7 linked regions of the Danio rerio genome follow. The main gene of each other region encodes a partner of the protein of the gene in region 4 in a complex. Links are inferred from orthologs where the notes say so. Each region holds a gene or a part of one and is shown on either strand. Other genes may lie near its edges. The genes, in order: cc2d2a, tmem216, ahi1, tctn1, cep290, tmem67 and tmem107l.

Region 1 (3,500 bases), on a different chromosome or scaffold from region 4:
ATACAGCTTAAAGTGTCATTTAAAAGCTTAACTAAGTTAATTAGGTTAACTAGGCAGGTTAGGGGAATTAGGGAAATCATTGTATATTGATGGTTTGTTCTGTAGATCATCAAGGAAAAATTGTGTTTAAAAAATTAAAAACTGCTTTTATTCTAGCCAAAATAAAACAAATAAGACTTTCTCCAGAAGAAAAAATATTATCTGACATACTGTGAAAATTTCCTGCTCTGTTAAACATCATTTGAAAAATATTCAAAAAAGAAGAAAGAAATTTGAAGGGGCGAATAATTCTGAATTCAACTGTATACATTTCTTCTAATGAATGTGAAGTCAAGTTTCAGTGTTTAAAACGAGGTCTGATCTGCTCACCTCCTCTAGATGGATCCAGATCTGCGGGCTGATGAGGACTCCTCTTTTGCTGCCAGGCTGAAGTTTCGTGATGCGGCCAGACGTGCGGTCAAAGACAAGCAGGTGAGAAGCTCCCTAAAGGTCTTGTTATATATGAAGAGGTATAAATGCTCCATGTTCATGATTGCCTTTAAGGCCGTACTCACACTAGGTACATTTGCCTCGAACCAGGCCAAAGCACGCTTGTCCCCCCTCCCGTCTCTTTCGACGGCCCGCACTCACACCACAATCGGGCCTCGGCACGCTTACGTCATCGCTGCTGCGCTGTTCAGTGAGAAGCGCTCTCTCACTCACTCAGCAGCACAGTGGAGATTTCTCTGGTTATATCGTTTCAGTCGGTTTGATATGCAGTGACATGCAGTCAAATATTTCGCCAAACAGTCCTTAGGGATGCGGTGACACGCAGTCAGATATTTCGCCGAACAGATCCGCCACTTTTGGCACTCATAAACAATCATAAAGCCCTCGTGCTGCACGAAAATGGAGGTTTGCTGAAGGTGCAGCTGTCGTGCAGTGAGGGGTTTGTGTATTTAATAAGCTACGGCAGTTTGCGTTCACTGAACAGTAAGAATTAATAATAAATCCATATAAAAACAGCCCCTTAAAAGTCACGTCTCACTTTCAATTTCGGGCTTTGGTGCGTTTTGCACTCACACACAAGCGTACCGTGCCAAAGTCCAAGCGAACCACGCTCAGGCCCACCGCTTCCAACCGGGTCAGGGCCGGCCAAGTGAACCGTGCTTGAGCCCGATTCAGCCCACTCACACTTCTCAAACGATTCGGGAAACGGGCCTGGGCACGGTACGGATGGCATAGTGTGAGTAGTTCACCCAAAAATGAAAATGAAATAAAGTTATGAAATGGACAACATTTCTGATGCTCTCGGCTGCTCTGAACACTTTCTCCGTGCCACTTTAAATCCCAATATGCACTGGGATTCTATATGAATGAGCTGAAAACGCTCGCTGAAATGTGCTAGCGAGATTACGTCGTTTCTCTTCTGCGTCAGATAGAGGTTCGGCATTCAGCAGCTTCTGGAAGACAGTGATTTAAATGTATAATTAAAAAAATATTTGAAATATTCCTGTTACAAAAACACAAATCCACGTTTATAATATGTGTGTTAAACACTTGGTGGCATATAGTTTGCTCCCAGATTGCTGAACTTTTGAAAGCTTAAAAAAAAAGTGCCACAACCAAACACTATTACACAGCATGAAGATCCAGAATAAATGGTAAAACTACTCTGACTGTGTTCATCTGACAGAAGAAAATCATATTCATCCAGGGGAGGAAATAATGTGGTGATTTTCATTGTTTGTGTGACCCCATCCTGAGATCCTGACACTGAAGTGTGTCTGTCTGCTGATCAGGCTGAGGCTGGTTTGCCGACCGCCGAAGAGGCCTACAACTTCTTCACCTTCAACTTTGACCCGGAGCCTGAACAGCAGCGCCAGAAGAAGAAAAGACGCTCCAGGAGAAGAGAGGCAGAGGAGGAAGAAGAGGGAGACTCAGAAGGAGAAGTAGAAGGGGAGGATGAAGAAGGAGAGGAAGTAGGAGAGCTGGAGAGACAGAATGAAGGAGAGGAAGAGTCTGAAGCCAGGGTGACTTATCGTGCTTATCGTGTTTTTAAGCCCCACACTGCAAAAAACTGCTTTTCTTACTTAGATTTTTTTGTCTTGTTTCTAGTCCAAATATCTAAAAGTTCTTAAATCAAGAAGCATTTTCTACACAAGCAAAACATATTGTCTTGTTTTAAGAAATAATACGCCAAAATGAAGTGAGTTTTTCCTTAAATCAAGCTAAATAATCTGCCAATAGGGTGAGCAAAAAAATCTTATCACAAATCACGAAAAACACGATTATTTTGCTCACCCCATTGGCAAATTGTTTTGCTTGAAAATTGATATCCACTCATTTTAATCTGATTCAATCCCTGTCTAGGATGAAGACGACCCATTAGTCGGAGACGAGGAGGATTTGTTCATCATTGACCAATCAGCACAGGACTTCCTGGAAGTGAGGCGAGCGGAGTATGTTGACTACAGCAGGCGACTGCAGAGGGAGCGAGACACGCTGTTTGTTCCCAGCATGAGGCCAGGTACAGAAACCATCACTAAAAGCTGCTCACATCATCTGTATTAGTCACGAAAGTACATGAAATCAAATCTAACCATATTAATGTTGTTAGCTAATATTGCTAGTTTTGTGGTGAACAAATCATCTGTGTTGGTCATTAAGAAAAAAATGGTTTGCCCTTGTAATATTTAATTGATCTTTAATTAGTCTGTAAATGCACTTCCTGTGTGTTTTCAGTTAAATTCCCAGATTATTCATGTCTGATATATTGGGGGTGTGGCTAGCATGCTTAACCACGCCCCCTCCACTTGGGTTTGTTTTAATCCAGGAGTGTAATACTTAGTTAAACCACTGGGTGTCGAACTTGCACCTTTAATAATGGTGATAAATTTGCTCGTTGTAATTGTGATGATATATATTTTCATACAGTTACATCTGTAATCTGTGTTTAATGTGTCACCCAGTGCCAGCCTCCAGTAAGCTGGCGGAGAACACACGTCCACGTTTCCTGGAGGAGGAGGGTCTGTATGTGGGGGAGAGGCCGCACGTCTGCCTGACCAATCTCAACATATTAGAGAATCGAATACTGAAGCAGGCCGAGGTAATTTAGGCCCTGTCCACACTGGTATTCTCAAATCACACTTTTATTCGACGCGGTTTTGTTCACTCGAAAACACAGTGTCAGGTGACTGAACCTGAAACATTCTGAAAACTCCAGCCAGGGTGTAGATTTCCTGAAACTCTGGGTAGAGGGTGGTCATGTGGATGCTACAACTAGAGTTTTTACCTCATAATGTTTTCTCCTTCACACCAAATCACTGACACTGCATCGTCTCAAAGTCATGTTGATCAGCTGGTCTGTCTATGAGCTGACATACGAGTGATCTGCTAATACAGTGGTTCCCAAACTTTTTTCATCAAATACCACCTCAGAAAAAATTGTCCCCCCAAGTACCACAGTATGACCAGTATTGAAATACAGTAGTGCAGTAGGCCTAATTAAGCAACTACAG
Region 2 (4,195 bases), on a different chromosome or scaffold from region 4:
TTCTTGATTCACAGTGCATTGATTTATTCTACTATCCCTAAAACTAAGCTGCGGTAGGCATCTCATATAATGCATCCACTAAAAGATGTTGAAAATTATTACCAGTATTACTTTCAGAGGTGGGTAGAGTATACAAAATTTATACTCAAGTAAAAGTAACAATCTTAAAAGTTACCCAAGCTGCAGCAAGAAAACATCTGCATATATGATTTTCTTCATTACCTGTAGTACAAACACTTCCTGTTTATTGCCGATGAGTGTATATATATGATACAAAAAATCAGTAGAGATCAATGGGAATCAGGCTTTCTTGTGCTAAACACCCAGAATGCATTACACAGTTACGTCAAATTCCTGTTCTCTATAGACAAGTTATTGTGTTTATAGTTTTATATAGTATCTCAAATCGTCTAGACATTTACATATTATTCAATAATCCCAAAGAAGATAACATAAAAACTGTAACAAAACACGTTTGAGTAAGTTAATTAATTGACGGAATGATCAGCTCAAAAATCTGTAGCACTTTTCAAAAAACATTTTTATAAAGTCCTATGGGGAAGAAAAAAACACTTCTAGAACTAGCACTGCTGAAGAAGCAGGCCCGACTAATGCACACTTTATTTATTGCTAAATTTTGAGCATCGTCAAACACTGCTTCACAAGGTCTTCTGAAGTTCTGACTGAGCATAATTTCAGTGCACTAACTGAACGATTCTACAAACTAAAGCAGATTAAACAACTTTATAAGGCACTGACCATAGAAAAGTCTGAGTGTTTCAAGGCCAGAGAAGAGGAGCAGCAGGACAACATCCAATATCAGATTATCTTGTGGGTAAGGGAGTATCACTCCTACAAATGTCAGAGCAAACAGTGATTACTTGACAAATAAAATCACAAATTTTCAGAATATTTCAAGAGGCCATACATCACCTTTGTAAATGAACATAAGAATCTCAGCAACGAAAAATGCAGCAAAATACCAGCCGTTCAAATGAAACAGGATCTGCAGTGGTGTGGACGACAACTGAGGTACTTTGTTAAGAAGCAATATCAACAGAATAAACAAAGACAAACGAGTAAATAATAAGAAAAAAAAACAGCTTGAAAAGATACAACAGGTTGTCTTCCTGCAAAAGTGAAAATAAATACTGAATTAGTGAAAATAACATAGGTCTAAAAGTAAAAGTCCTTTAGTCTCATTTATGCATCTGCCATCTTGGAATGGGTAATGCAGTTTTTCAAGATGCCACAATATTGTGCAGTCTCTACTTGTAGAAGAAAAGGGGGGCACTGCCACTGACATTTTTATAACCAAAGATAGTGTAAATATAGATAGCATAAATCTTTCACAGGTGAGAATGTGCTGGTTTGTGAATTTGTATGCATTCATTCAATATTACAGTCAGTTTGCCTATCAGAGTTCACAAACCAGCTTCCTATATTGCACATGGCATGCATATACAATGCTGTTTTGGGTCAGTGGCTCATTTTCTTCCTCAAAAGTCTTTGTTAAAATGTTTCAAGCCATAATCCAGGCCAACTTGTTAAAAGTTTTCTTACATTACAAACTCTAGTATAAAATAAAGATGAGTCTGAAAATGAAATAAACGTACAAAGTTACAGGACAGTGTACTTTTAAAGGCATAGTTCATCCCCCCCAAAAAAATGTAATCACTATTTACTTACTCTTAAGTGGTTCAAAACTTTTACAAGATTTTATTTTTCTTCTGTTAAACATAAAAATATGAAAAGACCTGAAAACCTGTAACCACTGACTTCCATCGGGGAAAAAAAAAACTACAGAAATCAATGGTTACAGGTTTCGACCTTTCTTTAACTGATCTACTTTTCTGTTTAACAGGAAAAAAAACTCATATAGATTTGAAACCAGGACAACTCACGACAGAACTTTGATTTTTGGGTGAACTATCCCTTTAAAATGACATGAAGCATTTGTGAACAACATTAATGACTAAAGAACAAAGGAAAGATTTAAATTTCATTAAAATGTGTTGGTTGTATCTACAGAGAATACCTGAGCAGCATCGTTGGTAGTGTTAATAAGACAGTAATGTCAGGTGCTTTTTTTAAAGTATATTACAAAATTAAATGGATAGAGTTTTATATTATTAGATTTTTTGCAAAGTAAACACATCCTACCACTATAACTAACAGCCTTTTTAAGATTTTCATACAGCTCATTTTAAGACACAGTGTTGAAATTAATCGGGTATTCTGCCCCAATTAACTAGTAATAGTGGTTATCAATATTTTTAGCAAAGTAATATGGTTATCTATAAAAATTCTCATTAGACCTATGTTTTTTCAAAAACACGACTTTTTAAAGATGAAAATAAATAGGTTGCATTTAAAGTGTTGAAGACAATAGCTGCCCCACAAGCACAATTTGTACAAAACAATACTGACAAGTGCGAGAACACATTTAGTGAACACGCGGTTAAGTAACACACACAGATTAAGCATTGAAGTAAGATCAACAGGCAGTTAATCATTATGCAAGAATATAATAAAAAAAATAACATCTATTTGTTGGAAAAAAGACAGGCGTGCTTTAAATGGCTAAAATCGGCTACGTGATGCCTACTTTCCACCCTAAACAAAAGTGCACATTCTGCTCTATTAGTCCGCTTGTTTCTTCAAAAACGTCTGGGTCTGGTTTATTAAAGTCGCCCACTTATTTAAGTTAAATATGCGCAACTAAGGTGAACCAATAAACTTACTATCAAAACCAAAACATTTCCGTTTTGCTTACCGTGGGCAGCCATGTTAGATTGCCATGGACACGCATACTGTAGGCGGAGACAAACATCGGCCATCCAATCAAATCAAGCAAACGGGTCAGTGATCAAAAACATACAAGTGCGAGAAATGAACACATTCTGTAGTAAGCACACACATTTTCCACCTATAGTCCACAAGGTCAAAACAAAATGGTAACGGTCACAGCTTACGGTTCATATAAATATAATAATCTGTATATTCATATGCACACTAAGCAGCAAAACAGTCACTGCCACTGAAATAAATAACCTTTTATACGTTCCTTTTAGCCAATAGTATACGCAATGTTGTATTAGTGTTATTCATAGTTATGATTATTATACATAGCACACTACTATTTCATATTCGCTATTATTAATTCCTCTATTCAGATATAATGTATTTTTTATTCTACATTATTGTATAGAATTTGTACTATAATAATAAGGTGTGATTCTTTACTTTTTATAAACTGTTTTTGTTAACTGTTATAAAACTGTAAAAAAAGAGAGTATTTTGATAAAGGTATACATTTACATATCTTTTTATAACATAAAATACACATTACACGTTTGAGCTTTCTTCTAGGTAACTGGAGGTTTTTTTTCACACCATACAATTATAATCAGTTATTAAATATAAGCGTTATTGTATTTTCTATCCGATAAAATAGCAGCTCCTCCGTTCACGGACCGAAGCTACAGTGCTCTCTGGTGGCTTAAACTGAACTATATTTTATTTTTAGACATACAGGTTAGATACAGATAAATTTACTATATGCCTGAAAAATAAGACTTATATGCATGCAAAATAGAATATGAACATACGAAATTTAGTCAAACAGAGAATCACAGTTGCTATTATTTAAATACTCATAAGATGGCGGTGCGGTGGCGTTGCTGTGGTTACCATAGTCAGTGGCGTTCTAAAAAAGAATGTGTTCGAAAAATGACGTTGAGAAACTAGTGTGACCTTCATTAAGTGTCTGGCCATCGCTGACATTAGCGGTATGTAAAGATCTCTCTTAAAGTATAATTTTAGGTTATATTTTGTTGTTTCGACGAGATTTTGGTTGAATACACTAAATATTTTAGTATTTCTTTCTGTCATATCGTTTCAGAGTAGTATATTAGTTTTTCCACGTCTTTCTTCGGTTAGACTGTTGATTGTACTGAATGTTGGATGGAAATGGAGATTTCTGTATAGACGACTTGTTAACTTTAGCATTTTGAATCCATATTTTTCTAGTTTGTGTATTCTGTTATCTTCTTTAGTAGCCTGTTTATAATGAATGCCATTTGTTATGTTGTCAGTTAGGTAGACCGATAGATACGATATTTTTGTTTGTGTGCTTCATTTGTATATTACTGTCTAACTTTTGCAGGTTGTTATTTGTTATATCGTCTGGTAA
Region 3 (3,500 bases), on a different chromosome or scaffold from region 4:
CGAGGTTTTGAAGAGATACACAAACCCTCCATCTGAGAAAAAGAAAGCCAAACAGATCTCTGACCAGTCTCAGGAAATTATCGTGGTTAGTAATAATTCATTCATTCATGTATTTATTTATTTATTTTTGGCTTAGTCCCTTTTTTAATCTGGGGTCGCCACAGCGGAATGAACCACCATTTTATCCAGCAGATGTTTTACGCAGTGGACGCCCGTCCCATCACTGGGAAACATCCATACAAGCTGATTTACACACATACACTTCGGACAATTTAGCTTACCCCAGTGGTTCTCAAACTTTTTTCATCAAGTACCACCTCAGGAAAAAAAATTGTCTCTCCAAGTACCACCAAAATGAGCAGTATTGAAATACAGTAGCGTAGTAGGCCCAGTAAAGCCGCTACAACTCTGCAAAGTAAACAAAAAAAAAACGTGGCAGATTACCTCAGAAATCTAGGCTATTTGTCATATTGGCATATTATATACATAATTTTTGATAAATTTTGAAATGTGTGTAGCATGTACATGACATATTTAATTCCTCCGCGTACCACTAGAAGGAAGCCTGCGTACCACTAGTGGTACACGTACCACAGTTTGAGAACCACTGGCTTACCCAATTCACCTGTAGCACATGCAAACACGGGGAGAGCATACAAACTCCACACAGAAATGCCAACTTCTTGCTGTGAGGTGATTGTGCTACCCTCTGCTCCACCGTGCTGCCCGTTTAGTATTGAGGAAGGTAAAGCTGGTTTTATGTTTGCACATATTGACTTTCTCCTTAATAATATAATTTCAGAAAAGTTTTTTTTTTTTTTGCTTTTTACATAGTGAAATCATATTAGCAGCCAATGACTAGCAAAGTACAAGTGTTTACTGTCAATTAAATAGTGCTAATGTTGTTTTTAAGTCTTACATACTTGCATGAGATCTCAGACTCAATATTCAACGTACCATGGTAAACAATAAAGGGAGCATGCCACAAGTTGTCACTGAACAAATGTGCAAATATAAAATAAACTTTACCTCAGAAATTTAGTTTTGAAGCCATATTTGATTCAGATGAAGTCATACTTGATTCACTTTCAGAGCGAATGTTCAAAGTAACATGGTAAACAATATAGAGACCATGTTACAAGTTGTCACTAAGTAAACAAATGTTCGAATATAAAGCCAAATTTACCTCAGTGTAATAATATTTGCAAATGTCAACCTTGCCATCAAACAAGCACCAAATTAGCAAAACCCTTTTATAAGTTGTATGTGTTGACTTGCATTTTATTTCATTGACCAAATTCACACAAGTGCCAGCTTCACAGATGTCACATCCGTAATGAAGCATATTCGTTAAGGAAAATTCAAAGTGTGATAGGAGATAATTCCCATCCTCTGAAGCCTTTTTTTGTACTGTTGCCCCTTGGATGAAGGTTTAGAAGCATTAATGCTCTTCTAACAGATAGAAATTCACCTTTGTTCCTGAGGCAATAAGGCTTATTAACCTTACATTTTAGCAAGTGTTAAATTTAATGTACGAGTCCTTCCTGTTTTTTTTAGTACCATTTATGAAATTATGCTGTATTGTGTTTTTTAATGTTGTTTGTAAGTGATTTGTCTCTTTATGTGTTTGTTATATCATGATGCTACTGCCCTAATTTAATTGCCCCTGGTGGGATTAATAAAGTTGTTAGACCTAAACTTATTCTACATAAATGCAAAAAAAAAAAAAAACATTCTTATTACACACACACACACACACACACACACACATATATGTGTGTGTGTGTGTGTGTGTGTGTGTGTGTGTGTGTATATATATATATATATATATATATATATATATATATATATATATATATATATATATATATATATATATATATATATATATGAGCAATATCGCACGAGTTGCAGTGCGATATGGCTGTATATCGGCACTGGTGGGAGGCGTGCCGATATACAGCCATATCGCACTGCTAAGAGTGTGATATTGCGTTTATACAACAGTTTTACGATATAATTGTGTATATAAAAACAAAATCAAACATGGAGAGTCTTAAAAACCCTTTTATATGAGGAACTACTTTCTTCCGGATTCAAATCATAAGCTGACAGTTAAACAGTTGAGTGTGCATCTTTTAAACTTTAGATCTGTAGTGTCTGCTTTTTGCTGGCTGTATGTGGGCGGAGTAATACACAAAGGGTAAAGAGGCTGAAGGAGTTCTGATATTGCAGAATATCGCACGGCTATCAGCCAATCAGATCTGAGAACCAGACAGAACTGTTGTATATATATATATATATATATATATATATATATATATATATATATATATATATATATATATATATATATATGAATATAAACTGAGGATATTATATGTCAAAATAATCTGTAAATGTTTTATATTTTAATTGAGGTAAATAAACATTCATTATGAATGTGAATCAAAAAGTACACAAGTTTGTAGTTATAATAATATGTAGAAATTCTGTGAATTAAATGTACATCTATATTTTTTGTTCCACAAAGAGGCGACTCTTATCTCTTTAATAAGTATTATTTATTTTTGGTTGTGCAGTTTAATTTACAGAATTTCTACAGATTATTTTGTAAACTGTAAACTCGCATACTTTTTGATTCACATCCATAATCAATATTTTTTTTACCACTTAATAAAAATAATAATTCTTTACACATATATAGCGCTTTTCTAGGCACTTAAAGCGCTTTACATAATGGGGGGAATCTCCTCATCCACCACTAGTTGGCAGCGTCCACCTAAATGACGCAACGGCAGCCATATTGCGCACCACACACCAGCTGATTGATGGAGAGGAGACAGAGTGATGAAGCCAATTATGGTTATGGTTAGGAGGCCGTGATGGACAGAGGCCAGTGGCCAAATTTGGCCAGGATGTCGGGGTTACTCTTTTTTTCGATGAACATCCTAGGATTTTTAACTACAGAGAGTCAGGACCTCGGTTTAACATCTCATCTGCTCACTGAGCAGTGTAGAGTCCCCTTCACTATACTGGGGCGTTTGGACCCACACAGACCGCAGGTTGAGCGCCCCCTGCTGGCTTCATTAACACTACTTCCAGCAGCAACCTAGCTTTACCATGTAGTCTCCCATCCAAGTACTGACCAGGCGCAGCCCTGCTTAGCTTCAGTGGGCGACCATGTGGGAGTTGCAGAGAGCTAACTGCCGGCTATAAATATAAAATATATAACATTAACAGATTTTTTTTACAGACATCTCAGTTTTATAATATACTCATTTTTTTATTTTTTATGTTTCAGAATGTAAACATATACATCCTCAGCAAATTTAGTTTCAAGTTTTTCATGCAAATATCACATCCACAATGCTGGAATTGCTCATGTAATCTTTATTTGAACCAGAAAAATGTTGCTCATTGAAAAATAATCACTGTAAATATTAACTTAATCGCGTTTTCTTTCAGCTTCAGACCTTAAAGAAGAACCTAGATTTGAG
Region 4 (3,500 bases):
TGTCTACTTTACAAAAACATTAAATATTATTACAGTTGCTTCTTACTTTAAGGTGCAACCTGATATTGTGTTAATCCCAAATAGGACAGGCGAGCGACGAGAAGAGCCACGCAAGCAATCCTGATCCACAGATGTTTGGATGGTAGTGAGAGATCCTTTTGGGTCTGCAAACTGAACTATCCCAGTAAAACAAGAGTCAAGGAATGTGCCCCAAAGCTGGATTGGCAGGCATGACAGTATTCATTAATTTATTTTCTTGTCAGCTTAGTCCCTTTATTAATCCAGGGTCGCCACAGCGGAATGAACCGCCAACTTATCCAGCAAGTTTTTACGCAGCGGATGCCCTTCCAGCCACAACCCATCTCTGGGAAACATCCACACACACAAACTCATACACTACGGACAATTAAGTCTACCCAATTCACCTGTACCGCATGTGCATGTCTTTAGACTGTGGGGGAAACCAGAGCACCTGGAGATATCCCACGCGAATGCAGTGAGAACATGCAAACTCCACACAGAAACGCCAACCGAGCAGAGGCTCGAACCAGCGAGCCAACAACCTCCTTGCTGTGAGGCGACAGCACTACCTACTGCGCCACTGCTTCGCCCCCTGCATGACAGCATTTGCATGGATTTGTTAAACACTGTTACGATGATGAAAACATTAGCACACCTTTCTTAATATTAATATTGTGCAGGCCCCTAGCCAGCCTGGTGAAAAGAATGGTTCTTTATTCTCAAAAAGTGGACCTTTTTGCAGTTATTCGCCTCATTTTTTATTTAATTATGAGGTTTAAACACTGCATTTTAGGGACATTTCAAGCATTTTTTTTTTTGGCTGGATAAACCTGTCAGATGGTCATTACAACCACACTTTTTAATGTACCAAAATATTTCCAGATTTAGAATAAAGAAATATAAAAACAATAGCTTACTTATTTTATAAATACAAATGTATCACTTTATAAATCATTCGAAAAAAATAGGTAGTTTTAAATGTGTTTTAAATCAAAAACTGCAGCCTACTGTTATGTATTAGGCAAACAACAAACTGGTCAGGACATTCAACTGTCATTTGGGATGCTGAATTTGGGAAGTCAAACCGAAGCAACAGCTAAAACAGAATTCCACTTGGTATTAAAGCCTTATTTAATAGGTTATTTTCATAGGTTTTTTTTTTTTTTTTAATTTATTATACCACAGTAGTCAAAATAGGACAAATGAGCTCATGTATGGGACAAATTCTGGACCTTTGTCAGTGAGGGGTGGGTCTTTCAAACCATTTGAATCACCCCTGGCTATGGGCCTGCTGTGTCCTGATTTCTTTCATAGATCAATCAAAGGGAATGATTTTTTTTTATCCGTAACACTGCATCTAATAAAGTATAAGAAGGACATCATTTTTTAATATTGTGAATTACTGACATTAACTATTAACATGTTGCCATATACTCAACATATGGGGTATTTTCCAAACTTGGAAATAAATTACTTATATTCTGTGCTGATGACAAATGGCTGGCATAATCGTTTCGTTACAAAAGAGACATCTGTCCACAGTTTCTAATAAAGGATATTTTGCCGTTCTTGTTCCGGCCACTAGAGGACGCCCCAATACATAGCCAGGATTGCCACTGTATTTCAACCCTGTTGTCTGAGAGTTCTCCTGTCAAAGCATGGACATACAATTATTACTTTGTTTTTATAAGGCTACATTAAAATAAAAATCTAAACAAAACAAGAAAACAACAACAACAAAAATTTGTAAAACACATTCTGGATAAATATTTCAAGAAAATCAGAAGGCACCACAAAACTATAAAAATAACAAATATTTGGAACAAATCTAAAAGAAAAGAACAATACACAATTAAAATAAAGCAAAGGAAAATACTTAGACAAGTACAATTAAAGGATAGACAAAAAACTATTAATATTATTTCATGCAAATACACTGTAAAAAGCGATTAGTTACTTTAAAGAGTGATTAATTACGCTGCCTTAAAAACAACAACCTGATTTTAGATAAGTCAGTAAACTCATTGACCTAACTAAACATTTTTAATTATGCACATAGTTGGTTTACTTAATAATTGTAAGGCAACAGGTTTATTTGTTTTTTTTTAAGTCAACTAATCTCTTTTAACAGTGTATATGGGGACATCAGAGAATGTACACAAAACTATTCATCTTAAAGAGCCCCTATTATGCATTATAAAAGGTCATATTTTGGTTTTGGAGGGTCTTTAACAACAGGCTGATAGGTCAAAAACACCTTAATTGTCTTATAATATGCATTTATTTTTACCTAATTATCCCAACGACTTACATATGATTTGTTCAGTGATTTATTTGTCCCAAACCCCAGCATATTAGTCTACTCCTAACCCTAACCTTAAGTAATAACAGCGACACACATTCAGTACATTCAGTATCCAAACAGTGGCAAAAGTTTAACTATTTTTAAAGAATTGACCACTCCACACGTGTGAGGAACAGCTGGTGGTGACCATGGCCACAAACAGCAGGAGATTGCGAGCAAAAAATGCATTTAAAGTATGAAAAAAAGAAGCATGAGTTGCGTTTACAACGTGGTTTTGGGCGCGATATGTGAATAACCCCATACAGATTTAACCTGAGAGATACAGTACCAGAACTGATCTATGACAGTACGTGATTACCAGCTGTGCAGAGCGATTACAAGTTACAACACACAATTAAAGACATATTTTGCAAACTACAGAAAATGAGGCAACAATTTTAATCACAATTCATGTTATGTAGGAAGAAGGAACTGGTCCATATAAACTATGTAACAGTTACTAACAAAATCCCATACATTAGTAGTCTTTGCTGATCCTTGCTTTAATAACAAATGCCAGCAAACCCCACACTGCAGTGTAGATTATTGTATCAATCAGAAAATGACAGGAACAAACACAGCACTAGGTTGACTATACTGTGGTGGTGTGGTGGTTTCCTAGAGCTGCATGTCTAGGCATTTCTAAGTGATAGTAATCTTCCCGTCACGATAAATCCCATGATCCCTCAAACTCTGCTAAGGTCTAAAGGGAAAGGCGCGTTCACATTTACCGGATCCGGTAGTTCATATTTGGTATAAACATCGATATAAACAAAAGATCCCGACGAACAACGAATCATTTAAAAAACTCTGAGTCGAATCTTTTATTAAAAAAAACTATTTTTAAACCAAGTGCATTTTCAGATTTAACCCTCAGCTGGATGTTTTCATTCACTTAGTGCTGTGTTACACACTGCATGGAAGGTCATTTTTAAGAACCCATAATAGGGGCTGTTTAACTTTTCAATAACTCATAACTCATATATATACATACGTATATACATTATATATATATTTCACAGTATGTCTGATAATATTTTTTCTTTTAGAGAAAGTCTTATTTGTTTGATTTCAGCTAGAATAAAAGCAGTTTCTAATTTTTTTAAAAAAACATTTTAAGGTCAAAATTATTAGC
Region 5 (4,036 bases), on a different chromosome or scaffold from region 4:
ATGTTTTGCACTGAAGGTGAAATTTTCAAATGTCTTCCTATCTTTCTTTGAGGACCTTGTTTTTAAACATTTTAATAATTTTCTTATGTGTTTGTTTCAAAGTGGCGATCCCCCGCCCATCTTTGCTCCTAAAGGACTAGACCTTTCTTGGATGCTGTTTTTGTACCAGATCATAATTACAATCACCTGTTGACACTACCTGTTTCAAATCACATCAATATTTAACCAATTTACCAGATTATCATCCCTAAACTGCTCCTGTCACAACTTTTTTGGAATGTGTTGCAGGTATGAATGACAGGAAGGGATGCATATTTAAATGAAATTGAAATTGACCTGACAAAACATGAAATATTTTGTGTTTATATTGTCTGCAATGAAATACAAGTCAAAGCAAATTTGGAAATCACTACTTTCTTTTTTTTTTTGCGTTTTCCATGCTGCGTTTTCACATGCTGTGATTTGTTCTGGAGATGCTTAAAACCTAGCAATGATTATACATACCAATTCTTGCTTGTTCTGCCCCTGCGCTGTCTACAACCTCATAGGCACATTTAATTTCATCCAGTTTCATCTAAAAACCCAAACATAAATAATAACATTAACTGATTCATAACAACAAATGCTCATGATAATTCAATGACCATACAACATAATTAAAAGAAATCTGGTAAATGTTAACTACTACATAACTACTGTACGCAGTGCTGCAAACATTGCGTAAATGATGAATCAGCCCTACCCTCAGAAGGGTTTGTGAGATCCTAAAGAGTTGAATCATTTTCTCAGAATCATCTGCTTTTAGGTCCCGTGGTTTGACCTGTATGCAAAAGAAATTTATTATCAGACAAATTTGCAAGAAGAATGTTTTCTTCCTTAAACATTCCGATAAGCGGATGTTAGCCTGAAAGCAAGACCTGAGGCTGGAGATGCTCTGTGGTTTGGCTTGAAAGAATAAACAATAAATATTTTTTTGAACATGCAACCACAAACACACACAATAACTGAGCATTAAGTTTGTAACTTCACATATTCACACTAAATAGTTTGTATTACTAGTAGTTAAATATAATTTTATCATTTATTTACTAAAAAAATAAAACCAGAAAACACAAACAAATATATAAATATAAAAACATACACCAAATCTCTTTTGATCAAGTATATATCCAATATATATAGTATGTGTAAATAAATATGTATAAATGAAAAAACTGTCTAAAGTGCCATTTTAACTATTGCATATAATTTAATTTATTTTGCACAGTCTGAGTCCTGTTGTTAATTGTAGCGTTTAAAATGATAGAAATGTGTAAGTAATAAAGCTCCCAGTATAGTTTACAACATATTTATATTTTGTGAAAAATAAATTGCAGTTATAACTGATTAACAGATGCAATTTATTCAGTAAACAACGGTTTAACAAAATAGAAAAAATATGTAATTTGTCCTTACTAATTATGTTTATCTTACCCTCCACTGTACTAAAAACATATTGGGTGATATCAGAATGAGTTATATACACCAGTGTTTCTCAACCACGTTCCAAGAGGACCACCAGCCTTGCACATTTTCCATGTTTTCTTAACCAAACACACCAAATTCAAATCATTAGCTCATTAGTAGACTGAAAGGCCTGTAATGGATAGAGGTAAAGTTGGTTTTCTTTTCGCACATTCGTTCATTTAGAAGTCCCTAAATTGTTTACCATGTTACTTTGAATATTCGTATGACTCCTAATCAACATTAACACTATCTAATTCACTGTGAACAATGCTGTACTTTGATAGTTATTTGCTGCTAATAAGATTTCTCTATTAAAAATTTGCAAAGAAGTTATCTAAATTATATTACTAATGAGAATGTCTCAATATCCAAATATAAAACCAACTTTACCTCTATCTGTTATGAGTGTGACACCCAAAACATGCAATGATGGTGGTCCCACAGGAATGTGTTTCAGAAACACTAATTTACACAACCATAATTCTATTCAAGAATGTTGAGTCTAAAATACATTTTTTAATGATCACATATTGTGTGTGTGATCATTAAAAAAAAAATATAAAAAAAAAAAAAAAAAAAAAAAAAAATATATATATATATATATATATATATATATATATATATATATATATATATATATATATATATATATAAGTGTTTCTTTAATAATTGCAACTCCAGATTGTTGTATTGTAGTTGCAGATTGTTGTAACATCTAGCTACACTCCTCACAATTAGTGTGCCTCAAACGTGTCAGATTACCATTAAAATCAAATCACAGATCTTCTCATCCTCATCCCCCAGATCCTCTGGATCCATTCCCATGAGGAGCCGCCAGTCTGCGGCCGCAGGCATTCTTCAGGTCAGCTGCAAATGTCCCCCAGAGCTGAACTGAACAACTGATGCTGAGATTGCCAGTCTTTTTCTACCTACAGACAACATGCAAAACGAATGTAGTTTATTTCTTCACACGGACTTCTCATTGAAAACAACACCATATACCGTCACAGCACAAAAGAGTCATAGCAGAATAATAAATACACGACAAAACGCCATGCTAAATATATTAGCCAGACATATAACGTTAGTTAGTTCTCACAATGTCGATAATTAGAAATGCATGCAATTGCTCGTATTTGGGTTGGTTTTGTTCGTTAGCATAAACCTAAATTTGAACACGTCTTAATGTCAACTTTTACACATATTTGTGAAACTAAAGACACTGAAAATAACGTTTTCAGACCTTATTAAGCCATCTTGGGTTCCTCTTGCGCTCCCGCTGCTGCTAGGCAACAAGGAAAACAGTCGTAAAACGTAACGTCGTAAAATTGTCTCTGTTTGGATTCTTTTTAAAAAAAATATTTCCTTTATACGCGGTCCATTCATTATAAGGGAATCACAACTAAAACCATATATCTATCTGTGTCTATACGTTATTTGAAATGGCATTACAGAAACACAAAATCCGCGAACGGCTACTCTGTAATTCCCTACTTTTGTTGTGCCAGGCATTTTGACCCGGAAGCAGTTGTTGGACTCTGTTAATTCAATGCCGTGGATCGAACTTGCTGCTTTAGTCAACATAAACAAACATATTCTCTTTTCATTTAGCTTTTCCCCAGACATGACAAGGTGAGTTGCTTTAATTACATCCTAGCGATGACTGCTGACAGAGAAGATATTGTGAAATGACTGAAACCAGTGAATGCTAAAAGCACAGCTGAAGTTATGTTTGTTCTTTAAACCCAGCAGTCTTTTATGTGTCCAGTTGTCTTTTTATTTTCACTAAAATGTAGCTTATTTTTTACGCTTGGTTGTTGTGTCGATGTTTTATTTTCTGACTGTAATGTGTTAATTAATCGATTGATCTGAATGTAAAACAAATGCTAACTGATAGCATATGATCTGTGAGGCTGCGCCCTCTCTGCTCCGCTCAGTCCACACAGATTATCCCATTATTACTGCGATTAATCTGCTCTTTTATTGCTGCATTTCGTAGCTGCTTAAGGACGTAATGCAGTATTCTAATATAAACTTGTTTTAGAAAGGTTATATACAATTTCTGAGGCTTTTAAAAGGTTTTCCAGGGATGGAAAAGGTCATCGAAATGAATGAAATATTGAAAGATTGACGATTATGTATTTGTATGTATGTTTATTTATTTATATGTCCGATCTGGTCTAAAACATTCACAAAGTACATTTACTTCTCATTATTGTTTTAGTATTATCTAAACACTGTTATAGTATTTCTTTATGTTTCAATTAGTTACTTCATTAGTATGCTTCAAGTAAATTGTAGTCATTTTGATAATTTAACAAAAAATACATTTACCTGTATCAATTCTAGTTTTCATTTAGAGGTTCTAACATTTTCTTTCAGCTTTATGTAAAATAAACAAAACCAATCACAATGATAAAACCACATCAAAATTACAGGAACCTTAAATAGTGAAAATGTATTAAACATAAATAATATAATTGAACACTGTTGCTTCACAGCAAGAAGGTCGCTGGTTCGAGTCCCAGCT
Region 6 (4,218 bases), on a different chromosome or scaffold from region 4:
CTTTTATTAGTGAACGCTCTCACTGCATTTCGATTGTTGTTGGCCTCATTTTGCTCCGAGGAGGAGTGTGGTTTAAGGTTTTGTGTGCAATTTTTAGACTCCTCCACAGCATCAGTCCACATTTTTTCATGGGCAAGTCTGACTTCAACGTTGAATTCTTTGAATTTTCTGTGACTGTATTTTAGCCCTTCTTCTGCATCTGAAAAACTGGCCAGCTTCACAAGACAGCACCAGCCCAGTTGCAGTCTAACTTTTGTAATGACCTCCAACACTGGGAGTCCCCGTAAGAACTGAAAAATCTCTTGTTTGGCTACACAGTCGGGAAAGCCATAAAGCCGGAGGTAGCCTGGCTTACTTAAATTGAGATTCTCTCCTCTGCCTGTCTGCTGCTCCGTAGATGCCAATTCATGATTGAGACTGTGCTGTGCATCTGTATTCATTTGTTTTCCAGTTAACGGCCATGTTTGCATTTCTGGAGAATTCTGGTTGACATTTCCAGGTGTTTGCTGAGTTTGACCTTGCTGATTATCTTTGTTGTTTGAATGCAGTCCATAAATGGCACCCATTAAACTAAGCAAAAGAGCAGCATTGGTGTCAGTGGGAGATGATGGCACCACGTTAGTCTCCAATTCTGTGGGCTTTGGCTTTTTTAATCTTGACTCCATTTTTCTCTTCAGCTCAGCCACACTACTGATATGCAATGAAACAGAGGAGCCCTTGAGTGTTTTCCCAGAGTAGCGCATGGCTAATTGACCTTCTCTCTCTGTTTTGAAAATAATGAATGCTTCACCCATCTCGCCTCCGATAATATGAACACCGCCCTCGGGTATGTGCAAGCCATGGAAAAATCTGCGGATATCTTCAGATCCTGCCTCTGTGTTTAACCCTTGTAAACGCAGAACCACTACGGTCATGGTGAGGGTCTTCTTACAAACCAGTTGAATCTGTAAAAAAAAAAAGAAAGAAAAAAAGAGTTTCATGACCAAAGTTTTCTATTTTAACACACACACACACAAAACAAAAACACTCACTGTACAAACTACAAGCAAACTCCTCTTGGTTATAAAAAAGCAAAGAAAGGACTTCCACCACCAAACAATCATACTATTGTTGCTTGACTAAAGTAAAATAGTTTTCTCCTCCTTCTTCCAAACGGTCATTGTCTATGGGCTCGCGCGTACTTACCGTTTTGTTTCTTTTTTTCTTAAAAAAAAAAGGAAAACCTCAATATAAACGCTTCTCTACGCACGCTTTGCTTTTTTTCTGTCAGCGGAAAGCACGAGGTGCTCATGCAAAGAGCAGAGCGCATATGTCCGGCGGGAAAGCTCAACTTCCTCTGGTAGAGACTTGAGAGCGTGCACATGTGACACGCCTTCTCACGTAAACGTGAAGAATACGTCATCAAGCGTCATCTGATCCTGCACCATGGCGACGGGGACGCGGAGCGCCTTGTTGTATAGTGTCTCCATTATAATTCTGTTAAAAATAAGCGTTTTCTCCTGCCAGCAGTTCTCCATATCATTTCGACAGCCTTCTGACTGTGGCGTTAACAGCTATTTTGATATTTCGAGCCTGTCTTGCGTGAAATGCGGGTCAAATCAAGTCAGCAGCAAATCAGGTAACGTTACACGAGCGCATGCACAGATTAGTTTGTTTGTTTTGATCGACCTAAGTTAACGTGCAGATGGTTGATTGTACACCAAGCAACGGTCAATTTATTGCTGTATCTGTTGCTAATGTAACTTAGATATACACGAATACGCGTCTTGTGAGCTAACGTTAGTCTGCTATGCGCGAGCTAATGTTTTCATTAGCATGCGTGCAGATGATTCACTTAAAAGATTATTACTCTCATGAATGAAGGTAGAATTATCGAAAGATACGACCGTTTTAGTGCACAGAACAATCGAAATGCTTAAAGAACTTTCAACTTGTAAAATAGATATTTATTCTGGTTTATTCTTCAATATGATTAACATGTAGATATTATATTAAAGTATATAATATTATATATAAAATAAGTGACACTGGTCACAAAGTGAAGCGAACCCAGCAAACAATTTTGTGTTTAATAGACGTCTAATAGATTTCTAAAGGTAGACAGTTTGGCTAAAACAAGTCTAACGTTAAACTTGGGCTGTCAGTGAAAATCTAATATCCATCTAGGAATAGCTCAAAACTAAACTAGTCATCAAAAAGACAGATTAAACAGACTTTGTGTCGTCATTTATTTCTGTTTATTTGATAACTAGTCTAGTTTTGGCCTATTAGACGTCTATTATAGATTTTCACAGCCCAAATGTAGCCATGTTTTAGCCAAGACGATTGTATTTAGACATCTTTTAAAAACAAAAAATTCTTGCTGATAAGTGACACAAAACTATGTATATATTTGGCTGCAACCAAATTATTGTTTTTTTCTATTGTGCTAAAATCATGAGATAATTAAGTAAAGATCACGTTCTATAAAAACATAAAAAAAAGTCTTACTATAAATATATACAAACTATGTTTGATTAGTAATAAGCATTGCTATGAACTTAATTTAGACTAATGAACTTATTTATATATATATATATATATATATATATATATATATATATATATATATATATATATATATATTATTTTTTTTTTTTTACCATCAGATTGCTGATTTTCAAATAGTTTTGTCAACCAAATTCTAACCTATTCAAGGGCGTAGAGTTGCTTTTGATATTGGTGGGGACTTCGGAGCACAAAAACTGAACCTTGAGCGTTCTTTCACTATTTTAAAACCATAAATAAATTAAATTAATAATATAAAAATCACTTTAAGTCAACCATGTCTCATGCTGCAAAAAGTAAATGCAAATATTTTACTTTGCAGAGAAATGAATGCAGACGTCTGAAAAGGAGGAGGCATGTGATGCGTTAACCATTTTATTCTGATTGTTGTTTGATAATAGAGAGAAATTTATTTTATTTTGGAGCTGATTAAATTATTGCTGGGGAAATTTGAATAATTCTGGAGATTTGGATAATTGGTGGAGACATGTCCCCTCCATATGTGCTATTTATACACCTTGGTCCTAACCTAAAAAAATCACACATCAAAGATTATTCGGTAAGATTGTTACATGTCCCTGGGATTTGTGAAGACTGTAAGCAAGCAGTAGTCTTAGTAATAAGTCAGAGAGACAAGAGTTAGTTGTTGTTTCACTCTTTGTTGTCTTATTACACATTCACATTTGTATGTTAGAGTCAGTAAGATACGTTGGTTCACAAAATTATTCATAAACATGTTGCATAAAATAGTCCGCACTGTATAATTACTTGAATCAACTCACTTCACAATAAATAAACAAAAAAATAACAACATGAAACCTTAACCATTTGTACAGAAATGCTAGAATCTTTGTCACTGACTGAATTCAAATTACTGTGTCAGGAAGACAAGTTAAGTATTTACAGTAAGTGATATACCCAAAACCTGAATACATCAAATCAAATCACACTTAAAATTAAGACATCTTAAAATTATTAATAAAATAATCAGGTAAAATTAGTTATTTATACATTAAAGCATGTGTATTATAGTTTTATATGACAGTTAGTTAATTTAACTAACCTTAGTAATAAGTGAGAGAGACGAGTTAGTTGTTTCTTCATCACGGTCCTCTTTGTTGTCTAAGGATGTGCTGCAGTCGTCATGGTAACTCAACTCTCAACTGCCACTCAGAATTCAAAAAATGCAGCTAAACTGTGTAGTGCAAACTCACTATAATTGTATTGGAGTAATTTAAATACAGTGTATGTAACCCCCCTGGTCCTACACCACCCAACCCGTTCCGAGCTGGGCTGGGCTCAAACCGGCAACCTTTCGCATGGGAGTCGGTTGCTCTAACAAAGAGATTAAAGACCATGGCTTCTAGGATCTGTCGCTAGAGCACCTTTAGAGGTCAGAGGAATGAGGTTTACCTGTACAGCACTTACTAGCTGCCCTCCGTTACGTATATACACATAGAAATAGACAAATAAAAGTGAAATATATATTCAAATAATTTTCTTAAGATGATATGTATAAATCTCATTATATATAAAAATCTCAAGTTAAAATATCGAGACTTATGACTGGTTTTGTGGTCCTTAGTAACATATGTGAACTTTTTTTGTGTTATTTTCACTGTATAGGACTGGCATGTGAGTGTCAGGCTGGTTCCAGAGTGCTGGTCAGTA
Region 7 (4,070 bases), on a different chromosome or scaffold from region 4:
CCGAGGTTCGAACCAGCGACCCAGCGACCTTCTTGCTGTGAGGCGACAGCACTACCTACTGCGCCACTGCCTCGCCCAAGCAAAAACTTGTTTTTCAGAAATAAAAATAGTTTTTGCTAACAAAAATTTAAAAATTCAAAGGAAAATTTATTTTTGAAAAATAAAAATTACATTTGCAAACAAAAAAAGAACTGAAAAAAAAAATATATAAATATTTGCAAAACATTTTTAGCCTTGACCTAACCCATCCAGTCAACTGCAATGCTCATTTTGATTTGACAAAGGGGTGGAGTCAAGGGAACTTGGGCGTTTACGGCAGGCCTTAGGTAAACCTCTAAGTTCCCTTGACTCAGTCCCCTTGTCAAATCAGGGCCACAAAGTGAAAGGCGCAGAAACGTGAAGTACAAAGTGAAAACAGCATCACAAACTCACAGTTGACTAAAATCTAATTAAAATGACAATTGCAACTGACCGGGCAGGTTTTGTAAAAGCAATGCTATAAAAATGTTTTGCAAATATATATAGTTTTTTTTTGATTATTGCAAATCTTTTTGTTTTGTTTTTTTACTGCTTGATGTTTATTTGCAGTTCCTTTTTTGTTTAAATTTCATTTTTATTTCTCAATTTTCCCCTTTGCAGTTCTTTATTTTTGTTAGCAAAATGTATTTTTTATTTTTTTCATTTACATTTATTTATTTTTTGCTCAATACTTTATTTGTTGTTTGCAAAGTTTTATTTTATTTTGCACGTACAGTTGAAGTCCGAATTATTAGCCCCCCTTTGAATTATTATTTTTCCAAAAGGGTTTTTTCTTCTGGAGAAAGTCTTATTTGTTTTATTTCGGTTAGGATAAAAGCATTTTTTTTTTTAAACACCATTTTAAGGTCAAAATTATTGCTCTTTAAGCTATATATTGTTTCGATAGTCTACAGAACAAACCATGGTTATACAATAACTTGCCTAATTACCCTATCCTGCCTAGTTAAACCAGTTAACCTAGTTAAGCCTTTAAATGTCACTTTAAGCTGTATAGAAGTGTCTTAAAAAATATCTAGTCAAATATTATTTACTGTCATTATGGCAAAGCTAAAATAAATCAGTTATTAGAAATAAGTTATTAAAACTATTATGTTCAGAAATGTGTTGAAAAAAATCTACTTTCCGTTAAAAGAAATTGGGGAAAAAATAAACAGGGGGGTAATAATTCAAAAGGGCTAATAATTCTGACTTCAACTGTATATATGGCCCTAGATTGACTTTATATACCAGGTAGGTCTTGACCACATTACAGCTCCATATAATTTTTTACGACCCATGACTTCAGGTAATTTACTGTCAAAAATCTGAACAAAACAGAAGACTTTGGATGAGATGTGTAAGAAACTAGTACTAGACACACATATGGGAGCTGTTTGCGTTAATCATAAGTTGAAGATTTGACTCCGATCCATGAAAATATAAGAAAATAATACACAATTTATATGCATCAACACCTACAGTATATATATAACCTATAGTGGTGATGTGCTACTGGTAAGGATACACAGAAGAGCTTGGTTGTTGTTGAACATAGAGATTCCACAGAGAAACCCAACCAACTCGATGGCTAACAGGCCAAGAGTCACGGATAATGCCACCACAAGCCTGTATTCCAAAAACAATGGTTAGGACAGCGTCATGAACAGGACTTACTATATCTGACTCCATAACATTATTCACATCTACATATAAATAATGTACAATTTACTATCAGTCAAACAATAATATGCTGTAAATGGGTCAAACAAGAAAAGCCATCAAAAGATTTTAAAGTATTTTGTTTCATAAATTAAAAGGTACATTTAATTAACAATTAAAATACATTCTGTATTGCGGAATGAAAAAAAAAAAGACTATTTTAGTTGAAATCTTGCAGGTTGTAATTTCTTTTCTTTTTTGGATTATTTTGCTTGAATGTAATTGTAATATCTTTCAATTTCTAAATATGTTTGATGACTAAAATATTATTTGAATAAATATATCTGTTTAATAAATCTGTTTTGTTTCAAAGGGGTGTACTCATTTGCTGAGCACTGTGCATATATCATGCACTTGATGCTATCGCATTCCTAGGTATACCCCAACTGCATTTTGTTGCCTTGTACATGTATAATGACAATAAAGTTGAATCAAAAAATACTATTCAGTCTCACTACATGACCGAAATAATTATATTATCATTTAGCCACTGTGAAGCAATACAGAACAGAGAAAGTGTGTTTCCCAACCGTGTGTCCTCTGCTGTGTACTCTTCATTAGTGTAGTCGAGTGGTAGACAGGCTCGGACACTGTACTCCTGTAGGTCATTCCACATTTAAACACACAGCTGGCTGCAGTGATGTTGTGTGATATAAAAATAACAATTACACACACAAGAACACTTCTTACCCGAGACCAGAAAATGATTATCACTATTACAAGGTGCGCGATGAGAGTGAGGAAACGGGCAGGCACCAGACTGCTGACCACCGACATTGAACACTAGACAGAGAAGAAAGACATAATAACTTAGATTGAACTGTGCAAGTGGATGACTAACAGTTAAAGGTTTAACGTGTTCATCTTCACAAAACGTGAGGTTGTATATCAAAATGGTATACGTACCAGCTTTGCGTTAGTTGTTAAAACCTGATTTTTCAAATGGTGAGCAGTAAAGTAGATATAGCACTGTATATAAGGCTACTATGCGTATAAGTTTATCAAGCTTGAGGACAGTTATCGCTCGATATAAGCTTCGGGTTGCTACGACAACACTCTTCTTCTATTTGGCGAATGGGTTATGGTCAAAACAGACCAACAAGTAGCTCAATGCTGTCACCTGCTGGAAGGAGTCGCTTTCTGACTGGTCCTCAACTTGGTTTTACAATGTCTCAAAATGTTCATTCATTCATTTTCCTTCGGCTGAGAGCAGGTACTAAAGGTGAAATAACTTGAAAATGGTGAACTGGAACATGGCAGCGCAGACAAGTAGTAAGACAATTGGAAAAAATTTATTTCAAAGACTTCATTATTGTGGTCAATAGGGAGCACTATCAAGGTGTTCGAGGTGTCTTAAACAAGCCTTTTATTCAGTCATTCATTTTCCTTCAGCTTAGTCTCTTTATTTATCAGTGGTCGACACAGCGGAATGAACTGCCAACTTATCCAGCATATGTTTTACACAGCGGATGCCCTTCCAGCTGCAACCCAGCACTGGGAAAATCCATACACACTCATTCAAACTCATATACTATGGCCAATTTAGTTTATTCAATTCACCTATAGCACATGTCCTTGGACTGTGGGGGAAACCGGAGTACCCGGAGGAAACCCAAGCAAACACAGGGAAAAAAGCATCTGCAGAAATGTCAGCCGGGACTCGAACCAGCAACCTTCTTGCTGTGAAGCGACAGTGCTAATCTCGAAATGAAATGCATTTAAACAAACTAAGTTGTTTTTTGTTTTACGGTCTCATTTTTACAGTGTATCTATAGCATAAAGTACTGAGTGGCATTAATTAACGATATGGAGTACTTACTATGGTTATGGGTTTTTGCATGTGATTATGCATAATTTATTGGTATTATAGTAAGTGCATAAAACGTGTGTAATAAGAGCCCTATAAGTTAAAAGGATAGCTCACCCAAATATAAAAACGTGTTTGCTGTTTATTCAAGTGGTTGTAAATCTTTGTGAGTTTCTTTCTTCTGTTAAGCGATAAAGGCAATACTTTAAAGAAAGTTGGAAACCTGTAACTTCCATAGCATTTGTTTTTCCTATATGGATGTCAATGGTTGCAGGTTTTCAGCATTCACAAATCAACAAATAAATGAATCATTAGTTTTTACTGTAGCCTACAGCCAGACGTCGTTGGTCTAGTAAATAATAAATAAATACTAACTCAGTGGTTTGCTATCAAGGGCATTTGCTGTTCTGGAAGGCAGTAAAATATTAACCTTAGAGTTAAGAAATTGAGAATAGACAGTTTTAGGAAGACTTTTTTTTTTACATTGTGGTGACAACATTTGCCATTTTATTTGCAGGGTGTGATA

What was found.
Region 1: tctn1 (region 4) and cc2d2a share a complex: the UniProt entries of both Homo sapiens proteins name them as parts of the tectonic-like complex. The link is inferred for Danio rerio from reciprocal best matches to the Homo sapiens genes TCTN1 and CC2D2A.
Region 2: tctn1 (region 4) and tmem216 share a complex: the UniProt entries of both Homo sapiens proteins name them as parts of the tectonic-like complex. The link is inferred for Danio rerio from reciprocal best matches to the Homo sapiens genes TCTN1 and TMEM216.
Region 3: tctn1 (region 4) and ahi1 share a complex: the UniProt entries of both Homo sapiens proteins name them as parts of the tectonic-like complex. The link is inferred for Danio rerio from reciprocal best matches to the Homo sapiens genes TCTN1 and AHI1.
Region 5: tctn1 (region 4) and cep290 share a complex: the UniProt entries of both Homo sapiens proteins name them as parts of the tectonic-like complex. The link is inferred for Danio rerio from reciprocal best matches to the Homo sapiens genes TCTN1 and CEP290.
Region 6: tctn1 (region 4) and tmem67 share a complex: the UniProt entries of both Homo sapiens proteins name them as parts of the tectonic-like complex. The link is inferred for Danio rerio from reciprocal best matches to the Homo sapiens genes TCTN1 and TMEM67.
Region 7: tctn1 (region 4) and tmem107l share a complex: the UniProt entries of both Homo sapiens proteins name them as parts of the tectonic-like complex. The link is inferred for Danio rerio from reciprocal best matches to the Homo sapiens genes TCTN1 and TMEM107.

What each region holds. Positions count from the first base shown.
Region 1 is NC_133198.1:2,308,778-2,312,277, forward strand, and holds part of cc2d2a (coiled-coil and C2 domain-containing protein 2A), read left to right. Parts: intron 1-378; coding exon 379-471; intron 472-1,781; coding exon 1,782-2,012; intron 2,013-2,352; coding exon 2,353-2,509; intron 2,510-2,951; coding exon 2,952-3,088; intron 3,089-3,500. UniProt on the Homo sapiens protein: Component of the tectonic-like complex, a complex localized at the transition zone of primary cilia and acting as a barrier that prevents diffusion of transmembrane proteins between the cilia and plasma membranes.
Region 2 is NC_133189.1:29,311,898-29,316,092, forward strand, and holds the start of tmem216 (transmembrane protein 216), read right to left. Parts: upstream 2,801-4,195; 5' UTR 2,790-2,800; coding exon 2,777-2,789; coding exon of another isoform or gene 2,760-2,776; intron 1,131-2,759; coding exon 1,117-1,130; intron 1,028-1,116; coding exon 934-1,027; intron 853-933; coding exon 760-852; intron 1-759. UniProt on the Homo sapiens protein: Part of the tectonic-like complex which is required for tissue-specific ciliogenesis and may regulate ciliary membrane composition.
Region 3 is NC_133192.1:9,408,718-9,412,217, reverse strand, and holds part of ahi1 (jouberin), read left to right. Parts: coding exon 1-85; intron 86-3,468; coding exon 3,469-3,500. UniProt on the Homo sapiens protein: Involved in vesicle trafficking and required for ciliogenesis, formation of primary non-motile cilium, and recruitment of RAB8A to the basal body of primary cilium.
Region 4 is NC_133185.1:8,973,031-8,976,530, forward strand, and holds part of tctn1 (tectonic-1), read right to left. Parts: intron 1,670-3,500; coding exon 1,581-1,669; intron 185-1,580; coding exon 47-184; intron 1-46. UniProt on the Homo sapiens protein: Component of the tectonic-like complex, a complex localized at the transition zone of primary cilia and acting as a barrier that prevents diffusion of transmembrane proteins between the cilia and plasma membranes.
Region 5 is NC_133200.1:18,973,537-18,977,572, forward strand, and holds the start of cep290 (centrosomal protein of 290 kDa), read right to left. Parts: upstream 2,801-4,036; 5' UTR 2,750-2,800; intron 2,436-2,749; 5' UTR 2,362-2,435; coding exon 2,269-2,361; intron 821-2,268; coding exon 743-820; intron 575-742; coding exon 505-574; intron 1-504. UniProt on the Homo sapiens protein: Involved in early and late steps in cilia formation. Its association with CCP110 is required for inhibition of primary cilia formation by CCP110.
Region 6 is NC_133191.1:30,685,915-30,690,132, forward strand, and holds the start of tmem67 (meckelin), read left to right. Parts: upstream 1-1,418; 5' UTR 1,419-1,425; coding exon 1,426-1,618; intron 1,619-3,610; exon of another isoform or gene 3,611-3,866; coding exon of another isoform or gene 3,867-3,876; exon of another isoform or gene 3,877-3,940; intron 3,941-4,173; coding exon 4,174-4,218. Other genes in the region: rbm12ba (RNA binding motif protein 12Ba), read right to left, coding at 1-914. UniProt on the Homo sapiens protein: Required for ciliary structure and function. Part of the tectonic-like complex which is required for tissue-specific ciliogenesis and may regulate ciliary membrane composition.
Region 7 is NC_133198.1:31,419,244-31,423,313, forward strand, and holds the start of tmem107l (transmembrane protein 107 like), read right to left. Parts: upstream 2,801-4,070; 5' UTR 2,644-2,800; intron 2,521-2,643; 5' UTR 2,515-2,520; coding exon 2,428-2,514; intron 2,336-2,427; coding exon 2,268-2,335; intron 1,645-2,267; coding exon 1,544-1,644; intron 1-1,543. UniProt on the Homo sapiens protein: Plays a role in cilia formation and embryonic patterning. Requires for normal Sonic hedgehog (Shh) signaling in the neural tube and acts in combination with GLI2 and GLI3 to pattern ventral and intermediate neuronal cell types.